3 linked regions of the Arabidopsis thaliana genome follow. The protein of the gene in region 3 interacts with the protein of the main gene of each other region in a biochemical or structural test. Each region holds a gene or a part of one and is shown on either strand. Other genes may lie near its edges.

Evidence for each region.
Region 1: the proteins of MPK4 (region 3) and MKS1 form a complex in vitro, tested with the Arabidopsis thaliana proteins (one study listed by BioGRID).
Region 2: the proteins of MPK4 (region 3) and AT2G33550 form a complex in vitro, tested with the Arabidopsis thaliana proteins (one study listed by BioGRID).

The regions. Positions count from the first base shown.
Region 1 is NC_003074.8:6,427,826-6,432,894, forward strand, and holds MKS1 (MAP kinase substrate 1), read right to left. Parts: upstream 2,690-5,069; 5' UTR 2,599-2,689; coding exon 1,930-2,598; 3' UTR 1,709-1,929; downstream 1-1,708. Other genes in the region: AT3G18680 (Amino acid kinase family protein), read left to right, coding at 140-281, 376-429, 794-885, 997-1,223, 1,307-1,695; AT3G18700 (uncharacterized protein), read right to left, coding at 3,897-4,072, 4,430-4,495, 4,587-4,674, 4,800-4,853, 4,940-5,069. UniProt on the Arabidopsis thaliana protein: Regulator of plant defense response. May contribute to MPK4-regulated defense activation by coupling the kinase to specific WRKY transcription factors.
Region 2 is NC_003071.7:14,208,116-14,213,923, forward strand, and holds AT2G33550 (Homeodomain-like superfamily protein), read right to left. Parts: upstream 3,579-5,808; 5' UTR 3,373-3,578; coding exon 2,784-3,372; intron 2,696-2,783; coding exon 2,651-2,695; intron 2,376-2,650; coding exon 2,065-2,375; 3' UTR 1,867-2,064; downstream 1-1,866. Other genes in the region: CPL3 (C-terminal domain phosphatase-like 3), read right to left, coding at 60-682; BUBR1 (BUB1-related (BUB1: budding uninhibited by benzymidazol 1)), read right to left, coding at 5,695-5,758. UniProt on the Arabidopsis thaliana protein: Transcriptional repressor that binds DNA and plays a negative role in regulating microbe-associated molecular patterns-(MAMPs, e.g. flg22, elf18, chitin, and LPS) triggered immunity (PTI) by negatively regulating immune gene expression.
Region 3 is NC_003075.7:564,536-572,191, forward strand, and holds MPK4 (MAP kinase 4), read left to right. Parts: upstream 1-2,381; 5' UTR 2,382-2,683; coding exon 2,684-2,856; intron 2,857-2,987; coding exon 2,988-3,117; intron 3,118-3,185; coding exon 3,186-3,323; intron 3,324-3,512; coding exon 3,513-3,845; intron 3,846-3,925; coding exon 3,926-4,109; intron 4,110-4,181; coding exon 4,182-4,354; 3' UTR 4,355-4,612; coding exon of another isoform or gene 4,613-5,029; 3' UTR 5,030-5,187; coding exon of another isoform or gene 5,188-5,331; 3' UTR 5,332-5,469; coding exon of another isoform or gene 5,470-5,541; 3' UTR 5,542-5,706; downstream 5,707-7,656. Other genes in the region: BPS3 (BPS1-like protein), read left to right, coding at 612-1,658; AT4G01380 (plastocyanin-like domain-containing protein), read right to left, coding at 4,613-5,029, 5,188-5,331, 5,470-5,541; AT4G01390 (TRAF-like family protein), read right to left, coding at 5,707-5,855, 5,939-6,105, 6,194-6,476, 6,579-6,727, 6,821-6,950, 7,036-7,060. UniProt on the Arabidopsis thaliana protein: The ANPs-MKK6-MPK4 module is involved in the regulation of plant cytokinesis during meiosis and mitosis. Essential to promote the progression of cytokinesis and for cellularization (formation of the cell plate) during male-specific meiosis.

The sequences.
Region 1 (5,069 bases), on a different chromosome or scaffold from region 3:
TTAGGGTTTAAGAGTTTATTAAAATATATTGCAAATCTGATTTTATTGTTTTGGTTGAAGTAAAACTTAACCCATTTATAATGTTTGGAACTTTGGCTGATTTTGTTAATACTCTGTTGCGATCATCTGTAATTTTCAGTAGCTTAAACGGGCAATCATCTTTCCCACGACTGCCTTCCTTTGATGGAACATCCAAACCACCGCTTAAATGGAGAAGGGTTTTACTCAAAGTCAGTGGAGAAGCTCTTGCTGGAGACGAGGAGCAAAATATCGACCCAAAGGTTTATTGTGATACCAAAAGAACCCTCCTTGTTTTGCTTTCTTTGTTCTCTGTTTCCTTACTTCAGAAGTCTCATCCAGTTTCCCGTTAATTAGGTTACTATGGCGATTGCAAGGGAAGTTGCAGCAGTGACTCGACTTGGCATTGAGGTTATTCTCTAAACGCTTCATTCAAACATTCTTGTTCTAGTTGTCATTGTGATAATTGGATTCAAAATTTTTTAGTGGATATGTATTCAGCTTTGAGTTCTTCCTATACATAAGTATAATACCCGAAGTATTTGATAATTGCCTGTGTAGATGTAACCAAATATGCTGGAAATCAATTAGCTCAAACTTACAAGAAACGGGAGCTTAAGTTAAGGGGTGGAGATATATGGCATTACACAACTTAAAGTTAGAAATTTGTTATGATTTAAACATACTATACGGCAACAGATCATGTGTCTGGGTCATTAAGAATCATTGCAATGTTGTGTGTGCTCTGTCTGATCTTCTTACGCCTTTACAATAGGTTGCTATAGTTGTTGGAGGAGGAAATATCTTTCGTGGATCTACCTGGGCTGGGTGCAGTGGCCTTGATCGCTCCTCTGCTGATTATATCGGGTAATCATACGCCTTTGTGTCAAAGGATCTTCTTCTTCTTACTCGGAGAAGATCCAGAATTTTCCTCTACTGGAGGTTTTTGGTCTCATTGGTTTATCTGAAATTGGATAGGATGCTGGCAACTGTGATGAATGCAATATTTCTTCAAGCGACAATGGAGAGTATTGGCATCCCAACCCGTGTTCAAACTGCTTTCCGCATGTCGGAAGTCGCAGAGCCTTACATAAGAAGACGAGCAATCAGACATCTAGAAAAAGGAAGGGTTGTAATATTTGCAGCTGGAACAGGCAATCCATTTTTCACCACCGATACTGCAGCGGCTCTTCGATGTGCTGAAAGTAAGTAAAGAGGTGGTTTCCGTTTAAGTTTTCTCCAATGATTATTCGCAACACTAAAAAAAAACTTTTCGCATTGGACACAGTTAATGCAGAAGTAGTGCTGAAAGCAACAAATGTTGATGGCGTGTTCGACGATGATCCTAAAAGAAACCCAAACGCTCGTCTGCTTGACTCACTAACTTACCAAGAGGTCACCTCAAAGGACCTCTCTGTAATGGATATGACTGCTATCACTTTGTGCCAAGAAAATAACATCCCAGGCTTGTTTTCTATAACACTCTCTCAAACCTTGACCACATGCATACATGATCATCTAAAATACAACAAGAATGCTTATTTAGTTCTGTGTCAATTTGCAGTTGTGGTATTCAATCTTTCGGAACCTGGGAACATCGCCAAAGCAATCAAAGGAGAGAGAGTTGGTACATTGATAGGAGGAACTTGGAACTCCATTGTTACAACAACCTCATGAAGAAGCCTATTCTCAAAACACAAAACTTATTAGAGTATCTTAGGTCAGGAGAATCTTGTAACTCCTGTATATATTAGTTTGCAGACAAGTTTTACATTCTAGGAATCTGTCTGAAATTTTTGAAAGTTAATCTTTTTATACATGAAGCTCATTTTAAACCCTTTGGGCTACTACATTGGATATGTCAAAATACATAATACAAAAAAATTACAGAGCAAAACACCAAAAAAAAATCTAATCTTGATCCCAAATATGACTAAAGAAATCAGCAAAAGTTGGTGAAGCTACCAAACTAGTAAAGCCAGGACTTCGAAACGGGCTCATAAATCCCGCCGGCGAGAATAATCCCAGTGGTATAGCCGGCGAAAACATCCCACCTTGATGATACATCGGAGAGAATATCCCGGTAGAAGCTGTTGGCAACAAGGCCGGAGATGGCGAGAGTATTCCCGGAGCATAACCACCAAATTCAGCTGCTTCTTCCATAGCCGTGTTGATTTCCACCGTCTCATCTCTCGCAGCCGGTTCTTTTCCTCCTCTTGGACTAGCATTTTCCGTGGACGCTAGCCTCGCCGCCGGTGAAACATCTCCACCGCCGCCAGATTCGAGGAAAACACCAGAGGAGATCCCTGTGAGTCGCTGGACTACGTTCATGAACTCAGACGCGGTTGCGTGTACAACCTTGGGGGATACGGCGTAGATAACCACCGGCTCTCTAGGAATATACGGCGGCGGTTGGTCACGATTTGGCGGCGGCGCAGGGTGTTTTGGAGGTTTCTTGATTTTGTGAGAGTCTTTGTGAACACTAAGAGGTGAAGGACGAGGACCACAGATCTGAAGCTGCCGCTTCTGGTTCTGTTGATCGGAAGGATTGCCGCCGGCAAAATACTCCGACGGATCCATACTTGGGAAGCTTCCTTTTTTAGAATCAAAACTTGTTGTTCTTCTGCTCTGTTTGGTTTGGGAATTGAATGTTTTGGCGACTGAGAAAATTGACCAAAACAACAAAAAAGAGAAAGAAATAAAAAGTCATCAGAACGATTAGTTTGACTTTAAAAAATGTTGACTTTTTGTGTCTCCAACCAAATTGTTACAGCACATGCTTAATTAGGAAACTTCCATTCTTGTCTTAATGTTAGATAATTAATTAGTAGGAAAGATCTTAGGAATCAACATTATCAACGGCACACAGTTATATATATTAGTAATGTTGTCAATCATTAACATACAATTATTAGTGATAGTTCTATTTAAGTTTTACAAGTTCTAGAAGTTGCAAATTATGGTAACAATCAATTTCTTTCTTTCTTAGTACCTAGCTAAGCTATTAACGTCTGCATGCATAGAAGTAACAAACCTAATTAAGACCTATCATATGAGTTGTTAAAAAAAACAAAAACATGTATATTGTATAGGGTGAGTTAAATATATATACTTAGAAGACTAAGTAATTAAGTATCTACCCATAGAAATCAGATATTTAGTTGTCTTTTGTCAGCAAAAAAAGAAGACGAAATTGAACCTATGACCAAATAAGATCTACATAAACATACTAGTCCTCGTTGAAACATAAATGATTTTATTAAGTTACCTGATAAAAGAAAAATAAACTGGCTTTGGTTAAAAACATTTCTACATAAAAATATTACTAGTCTAATAATTTTTCCATATATAGATAATGATAACAATGAACATATATTATGAGGATGGTTGCTAACAGGCTTTCATTTGTTTATCCAAAGCCCATATCAATTCTAGTTTGGTCCAAGAAAATAGCTGATCAAAGTTTGAAACTTTCGAGTGTAATAATATTTTCAAACAATTCGAATAAAATAAGAGTGTATTGAGAAAGTAGTTACTTTTTAAAACATAATTTTAAAAGTAGTCATTTTATTATTTATAATTGTAAAGTAATCATTTTTCGTATACTTACATATGTACAATACTTTTAGTATATATATATAAATATATATACTTTGTATATTGAATGTATTGTATAAATTTATGTGTACGAAAAATGACTACTTTGTATATTATAATAGTAAAGTGAATACTTTTATAAATTTATTTTGAAAAAGTGACTTATTTTCAACTTATTCCCTAAATTAATAACTATAGATATATTTTTTAAATTTTTATTTAGTTTAAAAACTACAAATTTAGGATTGTTTGAAAGCTACTAATTTAAAAAGATAAACTACTCATAGAAGATGACTCCAACATGGTCCTTTAGAAACCTCTCCAGTACTGTCGTTGAGTAGTGTGGGGGAATTGACAGACACTTGGTACTCGTGGTTCGGCGCCATATCGAGGTCCGAATTTGACGATGCCTTAGTATCAGGGAGGGCTGGCAACGACGGACATGGGTACTCCTCGCCTTGCTGAACCACATCCACCAAACACTACAGGTCGAAGGTAGACTCAATGGCTTTGTATTTACAATTTTGGTATGAAGAAAGCTAAGTTTTAAAAATTCTAACATATTCATAGTCATTGAGTTGTTTAGTGTTTTGCATAGTTTCTAGAGAATGTTTACTAGTGTCTGGTTATACATGCAAACGAAACAATTTCTATTGTCATGGTTCCAAAATAAAACAGAGCAAAACGTTGCATTTGAAACTACTAACAGTTATTATAGATGTAGATATGAACGTGACTATGAAAAGTTGGAACTTTTGTTTTCAAACTACCAAAATTTGGATATGAAACTAACAAACAAACAAAAAAAGTTCACCTTTCACTTCAAATTTGATGTTCTTAAACTTTAATCCGATTTCATTTTCCACAAGGACTGCCTTCTCTAAAAGATTAAGAAAAGGAAGTTGAAAAAGTTATTACAAAAACAACATAGAAAAAGTAGCATCTGAAAGTATTTAACAAAAAAATCTCACCTTTCATGTTAGTTTTGATGTTCTTAAACTTTAATCCAATTTGTTTTTTCACAAGGAATGCATTCTCTAAAAACTTCAAACCATTGTCCTGCTGAGGATTTCTCCTCGGCATGTGGATTTGACATTCAAGTTATAAAGCAGGTGTTTTAGAGATTCCTTGCAGAGATAAAAAATGGCGAGCGCGGTAAAGACTTCATTAAACATCTATCGGACGATTCTCTTCAAGATACAGAGGAGATTTTGAACTCCTTGGTATAGAAACATGAACTGCAAACAAAAAAACATAGAACTTTACTCGCAATTCAGAGGAATTTAGGGTTGTTGTATAGAGTTTATGTGGTAACTTTGGATACCTTGTAACTGTAGCGATCTGAGACATCTTGATCGAAAAATCGGAGAGCAATAACAAGAAGGGAAGAGAAGAAGATGTTGAACAACAAAAACCAGTTGTTATTTGTGGGTTGAGCAGAGAAGGATGTGTAG
Region 2 (5,808 bases), on a different chromosome or scaffold from region 3:
GATGTTTTAATTTTTTTCATCATCATCATCTGATCTCTCCATTCTCAGGATAGTCTTACGTCTGTGCTTCTACCAACGAAGTACTCTCCAAAACACCACGAATTAGTTTCACTTTCTTCTCCAAATCTCTCTCCTTTAGAATTCGATCATCTTCAACTTTATCAGCACTTATCAACACAACAGATTCAGTATCCTTCTCAACCAAATTGTCATCAGAAGCATTGTCGACCAAATCAATTTCACCTTCCTCCAACTCACCTTCTTCTTTCTCATCATCACTATCTTCAATCACAATCTTATCACTCTCTCTTGGTTCATAATCCATTACCAAACCTTCATTAAAAGGTTTGTTCTGCACAGCTCGAGCCCAAGCTAAATTAGATAAACCCGAATTCGCATATGGACGGTAAGCAGGATACTGAGAAATCAACTCCTCCATTGTCCAAACCCTAGAGTTGCCATTAGAACCACCACCACCTCCTCCTCTTCCTCCAGCCACAACCCCAACATCGACGTCTCCGCCAACATCGGCCGTAGTAGTAGTACTCTTGTGCTTAACTTCAATCTCAGTGTTGACAGAATCAGGAATCTCACCTTCCTCAACATCCACCATTACCATCAAGTTTTCATCGTTGCCCATTCGAATTAGGGTTCTAGAACAACCAGATCGAGCTACAAGCATGTAAAAATCTCAAAACTTTGCTCAAAAACGAATCCAAACCCGATTCAGAAACAAAAACCTTGAATTCGAAAATCGCCCACTTTAGTCCCCGGTCCAGAGAAGAGATCTCCAAAACAGAAAAAATTAGGGTTCTTCTCTAATTTAAACGATTCAAAAAACAGAGATTCAAGTTAAGGAAATGTTTTGTCAATTTAACTCTTTTTTTTTCAAAGATTCACAATTTCGAAAATTCCCAATTCGAGATCTACCACCACCTTTGAGAGAACAAGAGAGTTTTCAAATTTTCTTCTCCAGATCCAAATTTTGAGATGCTTATTATTTTCTCCGAAGGCCGAAACTTGAAGAGAATGTGAAATATAGACGAAGGGAGAGAGAGAGAAGAAGAAGGAGAATCTAGTTGAGAGAAGGAGTTTAATCTAGACCGTACACGTCAGCGATCCGAACGAGGTAAATTATGTCAGCGCGACGTGTGATTGGCGCCAGATGAGGGGTATTTTAAATGACGAAAGTAGACATCTCTGTGAATTTTCTTTACTAGTTTTGTGTCTGATGATCCAAAGTTTTTGACTCGAAAAGTTTGTCAGTTAACTTACCTCTATGGAAGTCGAAGTTCGTACATAAATTTCAGTGGTCAAATATGTCGTGCGGCTTTTATGAAACTGTTGCTTGTCTTTTTATTATAACTGACGAAAAAAACAAATTTGGACTGGAATTATGTGCATAACAACTATTTTGTGAAAGATAATCCAAAGTAATATGGGAACTTATTTGATATTTTGCATCACTGAGTTTTGGTATTAGTACAACTTTTGGTTTCAAATTCAAGCTCACGATAATATGTTAAATATAGTTCATGTTGCACTACAATCCAGACAAAAAAATTGGTTCGAGTTAGATACGGTTTCAATTTAATTTCTATAGATTATAAAAGAAGAAGTTAAAATACAGAAATTGTTTTCAAAGTAGCTATCAGATTACCAAACAACATAAAGTGGCAGATCTTCAATCTGCATATACCAAAGTCATTTTCTAACCAATTGAGTAACTATTTGTATATGTTCAAGGGTCATATGACTACGTATACCATTTAATATTATGTTATTAATCCTGTTGTTAGGGGAAGCAAGAAAGATGAAAACTCAATTTCATGCTATGCAACAAATCATCAACACATCAAGATGTTCAAATCAGTCAAAAGGTAACACTAAGGCAAATGATATCCTAAACCCGTATAAATCTCAATGTTTATATAAGATGTGTATAATAACCTCTTGTGGTGGCATCAATATTCAATCAACAATGGTGATAAATGATTGAAAAAAAAGGAAGAAGAAGAATGAGAAGTAATGGCCAAAGTGATATACAACTAACTTTTACTAAATCTACATCTTATCCGCGATTTTTGCCACAGCATCAGCGAGCTTATTGAGAACAGCGACTAAGCTATCACCGTGATCTTTTCTTTGCTCTCTGTCTAGTTTTAAGTTTAAATTCTGAACCTCAAGCTGTGCCGCCAACAACTGCCCGTTTCTTTCTAGTATCTCTATCAACTGATTCTGCATCTTCTTTGTTTCTCCTTCTTCTTCTTCCTCTTCCTTTTCACCAAAAGATGTCCGTTTACGCTTCCTCTCTTCTTGTGATGTCGATCCACCTTCCACGTTTGCTGCTTCTGGCTGTTTCTCTTTCACTCTACCTTCAAGTTCAAACTCAACATTTTAGTATAAAAACAAGAACATAGAGACCCTTCAACATAAACGAAAAGATCACACACCATAGGGAAGATTGTTAAACTACTTTTATAACACAATTTGAGATGCATTTTAGAATACGAAAACATCATTTATCTACATGACAACATAACTACATAGTCAAGACTCAAGAGAAACACACTCTAGAGCTCTAAAACTAGTTTGAGATTAGCATATAGAGCAATAGATCAAGCAAATACACACAGAGAGATAAACAAACCTTGATCTGCTACACAAGCTTCTTGCTTCTCTTTGTCTATAACATCTTCATCAAAAAAATTGAACTTCATAAGAAATGGAATCATTCTGATGAACATACAAAATAAAAACTTAAACTTTGATCTGAATTTTACCAGTAACTGATTTAGCCACCGGAGTAGAATTCAACTTCTCAGGACTTTCTCTCCGATCTAAATCAGACAACAATCCCTCGTCTGACGCCGGAGCCAATCCAAGCGAAAGAACCGGAACCGCCGGAGGAATCACACCACCGTCAACAATATCATAAACCTCCTTATCGAAAAAACCAGGAAGCTTCTTCTCTCTACGAACATCATTCCTCATAACCCAATAGGACTCAGTCTCTTCCTTAATCTGAGACTCCCATTCTTTAATCTTCTTATAATCTCCGGCGAGATTGCTCCATCTTTTCCGGCACTGAACCGGCCCACGATTTACACCGTGACGTTTACAGTAAGACGAAACAGAAGCCCATTTAGGCTCCATTTGACCCGACCCGAGAGCCATACCCGCCGCTCTCCCTCGCCGGACTCTGTTCTCCGCCACTCTCTTCCCTTGAATCAGAACCAGAATCTCTTGTCTCGTCCAACGAGGAAGTCTCGCCGTCTTAACGCCGTCATCTCCACCGTCATTTGACGGCGCGCTACTGTTCTCTCCACCGTCAACGGCGCTCACTCCTAATCCTAACTGTTCCAGAGCCATTCAAACGGAATATTCCTTCCCGTTTTGATAATTCCGTTCAAACGGGTTCCAGACTTAACGGCGTTATGGTGAGGACATCCCGTTAGCGCCGGAGAGAGAGAGGAGCTACAAATGAAAGAGCAAAGAAAAGATTTATTTTGTGAGATAATGACTTTTTAATGTATCTTAATCTGATTTTTAATTTGGTGACTGTAGATAAAATTGACCCTTGTGTTATCATTTTATTTTAATTTCGTCCCTTAAGCCTTTCATAAGGTTCATGTAGATATGTTGAATTTAAGTAGACCGTAATCTTTAATTCCTTTAGACCGTAATTAGGGATTACATGCTTGATATGGCTATTTCCTGATTTTTTTGACACATCACTTTCATCACCTCATTTTCTACGGCCAAGATCACTCTAAAAATAAAATCAAAAATTATCTTTTTCTTATATTAATAATAAACTGTATTTATTGTTTATGTAATAAAGATAATGCACATATAATTTTCATATTTGGTAATATTATGATATGGTTGTGTGTAAATATGGAGGGGGCGTAGATTATGGCAATAAACGCGCCCTTTGAGTATTTCTATTGGTTAATTTCTCTCCAACTACCATAAGTTGCTTTTACTCCATAATCCTTATATATGCGTTTTGGTCAATTTCCTCCGCCATTTATTTTTTTGGATTTTTCTACGTTTTTGTCAGCTTAAGATAATGACAATATTAGTGAGTCTCTGCTTTAATAACCTAGTGATCTTTAAGAGCCCTCAGGGTTTTTGGGAGTTCCATTACAAAAAATGCTATAAACATTGTAGAAGTTTTCAACAGTCACATATCATAATTAGTAACAGTACCCTAAATCATTTAAATGATTAAATGGGTTTTGGGACCCTTTTTGTAAACTATTTTTTGTTGCAATAAACTCTGAAACTATCTTTTGTTGGCATAATTCTGAGCCTACTTAAATGTATAAACAAATCGTAGCTAACCGTTCCTTAAAACAATGTAGACAATAAGACAACATCATTATGAAAAAGCAAATGAATGACGAGAGAAGCATGAGGAAAGCTTGCTGACGAGTAGAGATAGATATATCAATATATTCACTTTTGAGGGTTTAAAAATAAGAAAAAAAATCATGATAAAAAAAAGTTTGTTGTTTAAGGTTTGTAAGAAGAAAAGAAAAACAGAGATATCACTACTACATGTTAAGGTTTATGATTTTTGACAAGTAGAAAGAGAAACTCTAGAGCTCTAGAACTATAGAGCAAAGTTTTCTATGAAATAGATCAAATCCAAAATGGAGATATGATTTATGAAACACACATGACTAAGGGTAAACATGTATAAATCAAATCAAGATTAAACCATAATGTTCTTTGAGATGGAGAAAGAGAACCAATGCCAATGTTTTGTTCAAGCTTGCTAGTAAGAGGACATGAAACTAAAGCCAATAAAATAAAAACCAAGAGACATCGATACCGTAAATACCATTTCTGTTTGAATATAGAATTTCATCTTACGCATAGAATTTGTTTTTTGTTTTATTAGAAATCTTGACTCAGTCGTATAAATGTTTAGCTACGTACTTAATGCAATACTTTGCATTAAAGGGAACCCTTAAAACCCCTAAAGGGTAGATTGTGAAATGAAATGATGCCCCTACCACTAACACCAAATAAAATTCCCAAGTTTTTTTTTTCATTTGCCCTTGTTTACCACTCAAAGTCTATCTCCAAAATCGCATCATTCGTTTTTAATCATTAATTTAAATGGCTATTAATGCTTGATTATGTTTTATGCCCCCTCCCATCCGTTTAAAGCCACTTTATTTTCTATGGAAGAAATGCCCAATGGATTGATTATCTTTTCTAGTTTGTACCCATCCATACGTATCCATTGATTTACAATGAAACTCTAGAATTTTTCTAAAACAAAGGTACGCTAGTTGCCTAGACGACTAGACCAAAAAATTATTGGGATCACAAAGTCACTTGCCATATAAACCAATGACTTGGCCACATTTAGGGCATTATTAAAATGATTCCTTAAGTTTAATCATAAGTGGTAATCTAGGTTAATTAGTGGAAATTGATATAAAGTTTTTTTTTGTAGAATGATTACTTTAGGAGAAACAAATCATATAAGGATTGAAACAAGACAAGTCACATTAATTTCAAAACATGAAAGGCACATCATGGTACATAGTAGGATAGTATATCCCAGTACATCACAAAAACAAATCCAAATAGGCAAAAACACACAAGGAGCTTTATAGACAAAAGCTCAAATCTCAAACCATAAGATCGTGTAGAGAAGAAAGTCCAATATCATCATCGTAGGAAGCTGTTGGGTGGGAAATGTCTTAAAGGGTTCTGTCGTAGCAGCTCTGTTTCTCTGCATTTTTTTAAGTAACCATTGTTAGATCTCTACCAAGTCATGATATA
Region 3 (7,656 bases):
AAAGAATTGTTTTAAAGACGAAACCAGAAGTTTATAGCCCTTGGATTGATAAATATCCGGCGGCTATATTTACCACTTTTTCTTATAGAGCGTTATGCTGACAAATGTCAACGATTGAGTGGAAAAATCTACTATAACTGAGACATCAGAACCGTAAACGTGTGTATTTGTCTCTATTCTTCGTCACTGCCGCGTAGGTGAAACGGAAAAATCCTTTACAACTACCAAAACCAACGCGGGACTTAAAGTAGCGATTGCGTTGATCTGCAGCACACGGCACGTTTCTTTGATTCCTCCCTATAAGAACGCGTTTCAAGTTTTATTATCATACACTAAACCCATCTCCTATTTATACTTTCTTTTGGGTTTTTTTCTCTCCTTCATTGAAGTAGCGTAACATTGAAGTAAGCGGTAACATTTCGGAAGAATCTCTTTCTTTAGGTGAGTTTTCGTTAATCTTCGGCGAGTTTGGTTAAAGTAATGGTTTTTGTTCTGTCTTTGCATTCTTGAGATCTATTGATTCGGATTTTGGATTCAGAACAATGTTATTGGTTTGCTCATTGTTTCAGATTACTAACTTTGTTTCTTCTTTCTGTGTGTTTTCAGTTGATATGAGCCAACAACGTACACGCTCTCGGAACCCGTTCAAGATTCTGTTTACGAAGAAGAACAATGCTCGATTATCGCCAAAGCTTCTCTCACTGTTGAACAATTTCGAGACTAACTTGACGGTATCGATTAGAGAACTTGTACCAAAGGATAAGAATGATATCGTTAGTGTTTCTTGGATGATACAAGCCATGCAGTCTCTTTGTGAGACACACAAGAGTATCAGGACGCTCGTGAAGGATTTAGAGGTTCCAGTATCGGATTTGGAGGAGAATTTCATTTATATCTTCTCTGACTTTAGCTTGAAGCGGGAACTCTGCAACGCCTTTACCTCAGAGATATATCATTTGGAACATGGCAATCTATTACTAAAGTTTGCTTTTAGTAAGCTGGAGACAAACAGTGGCAATATTCTTCAGCGTTGGAATCAGCACATGGTTTCCAAGAACCCGAGTATCGAAAACTGGGGCGCGGTTTTGAGTAGGCTGGTTGAATCGATGGATCATCATCATCATATCTCCAAGAAGGGGAAGAAGAAATACTCTGCGGAAGGAAAAGTTCTCTTACGAGTTTTATACGGTGTAAAGGTCAAGACTTTATACATATTCAGCGTGTTTGATGCATCGTTCTCGGGTTCTTCCAAGAATCTCTTCTATCTAACCATTCCAAAGGAGATGGAGGAGCTTCCATGGGTTCAAGCTTTCATGGAACTGCAGAACACTATTAACCCGGAGATCAAAAACACATTTTTATCAGACGGATTCACGGTTATAAAAGATCTCGAGGCTGTTGAAACCGGTGTGAAGAAGCTTTACACAGCGGTACAAGAAGGGTCGGTTCCTATTTTGTTAGTGGAACCATTGGAGAAGTCAGTGATAGAACTTTCGGAAAGGTTTGAGCTAGTCTCCAAGGAAACACGTTGCTTGTCGAAGATGGTGATCTCTGCCCGAGACGCATTGTTGGAGAGCCTGTGGACGAAATGCGCAGAAGAGCTAGGAGTGACATTGCCAACGATGGTTAAAAGTGTTAATATAGAGGAAAAGAGCTAAGACTTGTTTGTGAATATAGAGGAAACATGTAATTATGGTATCGTTGATGTTAAGTAATAACAAATGCAGATAAAAATGAGACTTTAAAACGCTTCAAATATTGATAACTCTCTCTTTTCAATCGGTGCTAAGCTATAACTACATTTTCAAGTTAGTCAGAATTGTGCTTTAGTTCATCTTAGTTGATAATGGATAAGTGATGGGTTTGCTTGAGGCCCATTGTAAATCACTAGACCAAAAAAAATCAGTGTTATTTTCATGGTTACATGATCAATCAATCAAAGCAAACCAGATATTCTAGCTATTAATAATAACAAATGCACCAAACTTCAACATGGTTATATAAGTTGTTTAACCATGATTTTTTAAAAAAAATCAAAATGATGTCATTTTATCTTATACATAAACCTTTTTTCACTAATGGTTTTGGAATCAAAGGTCAGTTTTATGGTCAAAAACAATTTGGCCGCCCATTGACTTGTACACCACCAATATACCAAGTCGTACTTAAATTCTTATTGGAGAAAAGTTGTCATCTAGATTCTTTTAAACTTTATAATATGATATCAAGAACATTCCTACATGAAGTCATTAACTTGTTCCATTCTACAAACTTCATCAATTACATTTTTTCGGCAAAAGTCATAACCATATCTAATCTCTACTTCGTGGGATAACGCGATTTAGTAGAAGCAAACTCCAGTAAACAAAACTTAACCAATTGACTAAAAACACTTACCCGTTCCTCAATTACTTAGAGACACAATCATCGGATATACCCAACTCGATACCATAAACAAAATTGAAAATTGACATTACAAAGAAAAAGAACAAAAACCAAAGAAGAAGACGCAAACCCGGTTTAAGGGTCACGGGTGACTCGAGAGGAGACTTCCTCTTTACCGTTCAATAAAAAAAAAAGGGTAAAGGTAGAGACTTTATAACGAAATGTCAACACCCATCTTCTCGATTCCTCAATTTCTCTAGGGTTCTTCGTTTTCGTTGTTGTGAGGAATTTTGCTCCGATGTCGGCGGAGAGTTGTTTCGGAAGCTCGGGTGATCAAAGCAGCAGCAAAGGAGTGGCTACTCATGGTGGTAGCTATGTTCAGTATAATGTCTATGGCAATCTCTTCGAAGTTTCTAGAAAGTATGTTCCTCCTCTTCGTCCTATCGGTAGAGGCGCTTATGGAATTGTCTGGTGAGTTCCAAAATTAATCAGATTGGGTTTTTGAAACATGTAATGTTCACTTCTGGGGTTCTTAGATTTGGGAATTAGGGTTTTGGAATCTGTTGTTATTATAATAACTTGTGTTGATAATTGTTGATCAGTGCTGCTACAAACTCAGAGACTGGAGAGGAGGTAGCTATCAAGAAGATTGGTAATGCTTTTGACAATATTATCGATGCTAAAAGGACTTTGAGAGAGATTAAGCTTCTCAAGCATATGGATCATGAAAATGTACGTGTTACTAATCATCAGCATCTCTGGTTTTTTTTGTGTGAATCTTATATTGGTTTATTGTGCAGGTGATTGCTGTAAAGGATATAATAAAACCACCGCAGAGAGAGAACTTCAATGATGTTTACATTGTTTATGAGCTTATGGACACTGATCTCCACCAAATTATTCGCTCTAACCAACCCTTAACTGATGATCATTGTCGGGTATGCATCAATCTCCATCTTGCTTATATCTAGCAGCTGAATCTTCTGTTTCTACTTTAGAAGCAGCTGTTATTGTGTTAGAGCATCTGATGAGTATTGCTTGATACTTTATAAGTGAGAGCTAATAAGGATTTCGTTTGTTATGCTTTGAAGTTGTGTTTAGTAATTAGTTTCGATTATGTTTTGCAGTTTTTTCTGTATCAGTTGTTGCGTGGGCTCAAATATGTTCATTCAGCTAATGTATTGCATCGAGATTTGAAACCTAGCAATTTGCTCCTGAATGCAAATTGTGATCTAAAGCTTGGGGATTTCGGGCTTGCGAGGACCAAATCCGAGACTGACTTTATGACTGAATATGTTGTTACACGTTGGTATCGAGCTCCAGAGCTGCTACTTAATTGCTCTGAATACACAGCAGCAATTGATATTTGGTCTGTCGGTTGTATACTCGGTGAAACAATGACACGAGAGCCCTTGTTTCCCGGTAAAGATTATGTTCATCAGCTTAGACTCATCACTGAGGTAATCTAGTTTAGTATGTTTCATCCAAAGAATCACCACTTAGTCTCTCTTCACGGTATTAATGAATCTTTGGAAAGCAGCTTATAGGATCTCCTGATGACTCAAGCTTGGGATTCTTAAGAAGTGACAATGCAAGAAGATACGTTAGACAGCTTCCACAGTACCCTAGACAGAACTTTGCTGCTAGATTCCCAAACATGTCGGCTGGTGCAGTCGATTTGCTGGAGAAAATGCTTGTTTTTGATCCAAGCAGACGCATCACAGGTGAGTTATATTTTATATAACTGCTTCTCTGTTTCTTCGGCTATTTTCTGAACATGTTTTTTGTGTGTGTAGTTGATGAGGCGTTGTGCCACCCATATTTGGCGCCGCTGCATGATATCAACGAAGAACCGGTATGTGTGAGGCCGTTCAATTTTGATTTCGAGCAACCTACTTTGACAGAAGAGAACATTAAGGAGCTTATATACCGTGAAACAGTCAAGTTCAATCCTCAAGACTCAGTGTGAGAGAAAGAGAGAGAGATATATATCCTTAAAAGGAAACTCATCAAAATGCTATGTTTTGTTTTGCTCTGCTTTTGTTATCAAATCTCTGATAAGTTTGATAATATGTCTGTAATTTGAATAACATCCTAAAAAATTGGAAAAAAAGAAAAGAACAACCTTTGAGCTGTGTTTTGCAATAGAGTGTATTTAAATTTCCTTACTTTTTAGTCGAAAGAAAATACAGAGAAGTCTTAACTCTAATTACATCCACTAATTATCTTAATGATGGGGTTGAGGTCCGAAGGTGCGTAACCATCTGTTGAAGCGGTCCATAAGTGACAACTCTATCTTCTTCGTCGGAACATTGGGGACAGGTACGGCTTTGGTGAGTGGTCCGACCACGACTCGTAGCTTAAGCCCAGCGTAACAGTGACCTGGAGTCTTAGAGCTAATGAAATAATGGACTCCTGGTTCTGTGAGCGTGACGAGATCGTGGCCTGTCATGTGCACGGCTACGGGAGAAATCGGGTAGCAGGATATGAATTCAAGGTCCCCGCTGATCTCTAAGACGTCGTTGACTTCGTTGTCGTATTCGAAAAGAAGACTGTCTCCGATCGGAAACTGCGTCTTCTCACTCCATCTGTAATAAAAGTAACTTTCTTGCGGAACACTCCATCCCTTGGAGCCACACCAACTCTGTAGATATTTCAAGGAGGAAGGATCTTGCTCGGTGGTGTTGGAGGAATGGGACGTGACGAGTCATGAACGACAAGAATGTCGAGCTTCTGTCCCGATGCGCATTGAGCATGGTTTGAGCTGATGAACTAGTGAAAACCTGGTTCCGTGAGGGTTACGATATCGTGTCCAGGGTTGTAGACGGCTTTAGGAGAAGAAGAGTCGCAGAACTCGTATTCCAAAGCGCCGGAGACTTGAGTGACGTCGTTGAGGTTGTGATTGTGTTCGAAGATCAAAGAATCCCCAACGTGGAACACAAGTTTCTTTTGGCAAACAAATTATGTCTTTTCTTTTGGCGTTTTTCTCATATATATAGGTAGTAAAAGCAATGGAATGCTCACGATTCCTTGAAAAAAAAACAAGATCTTATTTGCAAAACAAAACTAACAAGAAACAATAACGATTGAGAACCAAGTCTCTATAGTTGATAAACTGGGCTTATGAAATCTTGTAGATTGTCTTGTTATGCCCATAAACTGAAAATACACGCCAAGCACATCATCTTCATCTCCAGCAACACGTACGTCGACACACATCACAAGTCATTACGGCATCAGTAGCTTAGTTACATAATAGTACTATATATATTCTCCAGCATTTTATTCATACGTTATAAATATTTCTTGCTGATTATATAGCTAACAGTAATTAGAGACGGAAATGACATCAAAGTCAACTCCCACATAAAGCTTATCCTTCACCAAATAAGGGTCATCAAGTTCCCCTAGAGGCATGAAATCCGCAAAGCCATGGCGGTCATCAGGTTCTGCACCAAGCCAACCCGAAACTATACGTACCAGGAGAAAAAGATTAGTACTGTATTTAACCATCATGCATCACAAGACTTTCCAAAACATAATAAACACATACTTGTTTTCTCAACATGATTCCTGCTAACTTGATCCAATACACGCAGCTTGAACCTCGCGTAAGTTTTAGTCTTTGGTGCATTATTGACAAACCCTAGTGCCGATAGATACACAGAAAATGATTTGTCTTTTTCACCCATAGACCCTCTTGGATGAACTTTAATTCTCCTGATCAAATATATTGTGATGCATTTTTATTAGTATTATATATAAGTTGTGTTATGTTTTTGGGAAAAAGGAGGAATATAATATCAACCATTTCCGGGTTCCAACGACAAATTCATTAGACTGATGAACGTTTCCAGGGTTGAAGGACGAGAACATGGTCATCATCCAAGTGACTCTGTGATTAAGAGGCTTCTCTATTAAGCTAAAACTTTCCGCTGTTCCGGGTTTAGCAGGTTCAATCCCATGGAACTTGACACCAAACATACAACAATCTCCAATAAGGAAACCATTTTTCTTAAGATCAACAAGAGATATGAACTCACGAAACCCCTCACTACCCAGTTCTTCATTGGTTTCGTATTCATCTCTTCCTGCACATCAACATATATGGACGCCGTATCAAACCTATATACACACAGATGTATGCGTGATTGAATGAAGCAAGAGAGAGAGAGAGAGAGAGTGAGAGAGACCGTGAGTGTGCCATTTTGGCTCAAGTTGACTGACGGCAAGAAGCTCATATGTAAGCGTATCATATACCGGAGCTTGATTCATTAAGTAGAGGGAGACATAATGTGTCCCCTTAGCATTTGTATGGCCATTTGGGTGCACAGAGAGTTTCCTGTTACCAATCAAGTCGTTAAGAGGATGATCACCATCTTTGTTTTCTTTTGTATGTCAATAAGCATAATAACAAGATTATAAACAACTTCACCATTTGTGACCAGCGAGATCGAAAACAGAGGACTCGACCTTTTCGATTCCATGCTTTCTGAGTAAAGAGAAATGGTCTATCTTGAACATGTGAGCTGTTGCGTGACGTACTTTGAACAGTCTCACCATTTCTGTCAAGAATGAGAAAATTATTAAAACTTGGAACTCATAATGATACTAAGAGATCATCAGACACAACATAAGTTATGTTTTCACCTTCAAGCGAGATTGGTCGCGACATTGTAAGAAGCTGCAAATGATTTAGTACTGTGTCTTGTTAGGTGTAAAGAGACTTGTACATATATATCTTGAAGATGCAAGTCTATTTATACAAGGACAAGAGTTGTCTTTATTTATTTATCGGGATCCCATGTTTTGCTCATCTCTCTGTTTTGCCCCCAACATTTATCGAATCGAACAAAACATCTTTTTTTTTTTTTTGGTAATTGAACAAAGCATCAATATTGATACGCATTTATTTATACGTCACATTTGAGCATATGTTCGTAAAAATCGACCTAAATTCTCAACTCAAAGAAATACTTTAACATTTATTATTATTATTCTTTTCAAATTACTACTCCCTCTGTTTCTATATAAATGTAGTTTAACGGTTTTTTTTTTTTTCAATTTAAGTGTTGTTTTCAACTTTCTATGCAAATAATAAATGTATTTAATATTTTTTAACCAATTATATTTAATCATCTATTTTTTTATTGGTTGAATTGGTTATAATAAATGAAGTTTTTATATAAAAGAGGTATATTAAATGAGATTTTTATGATTTCTTAATTTGTGTGTAACCTTAAACTACAACTAATATGAAACAGAGGGAGT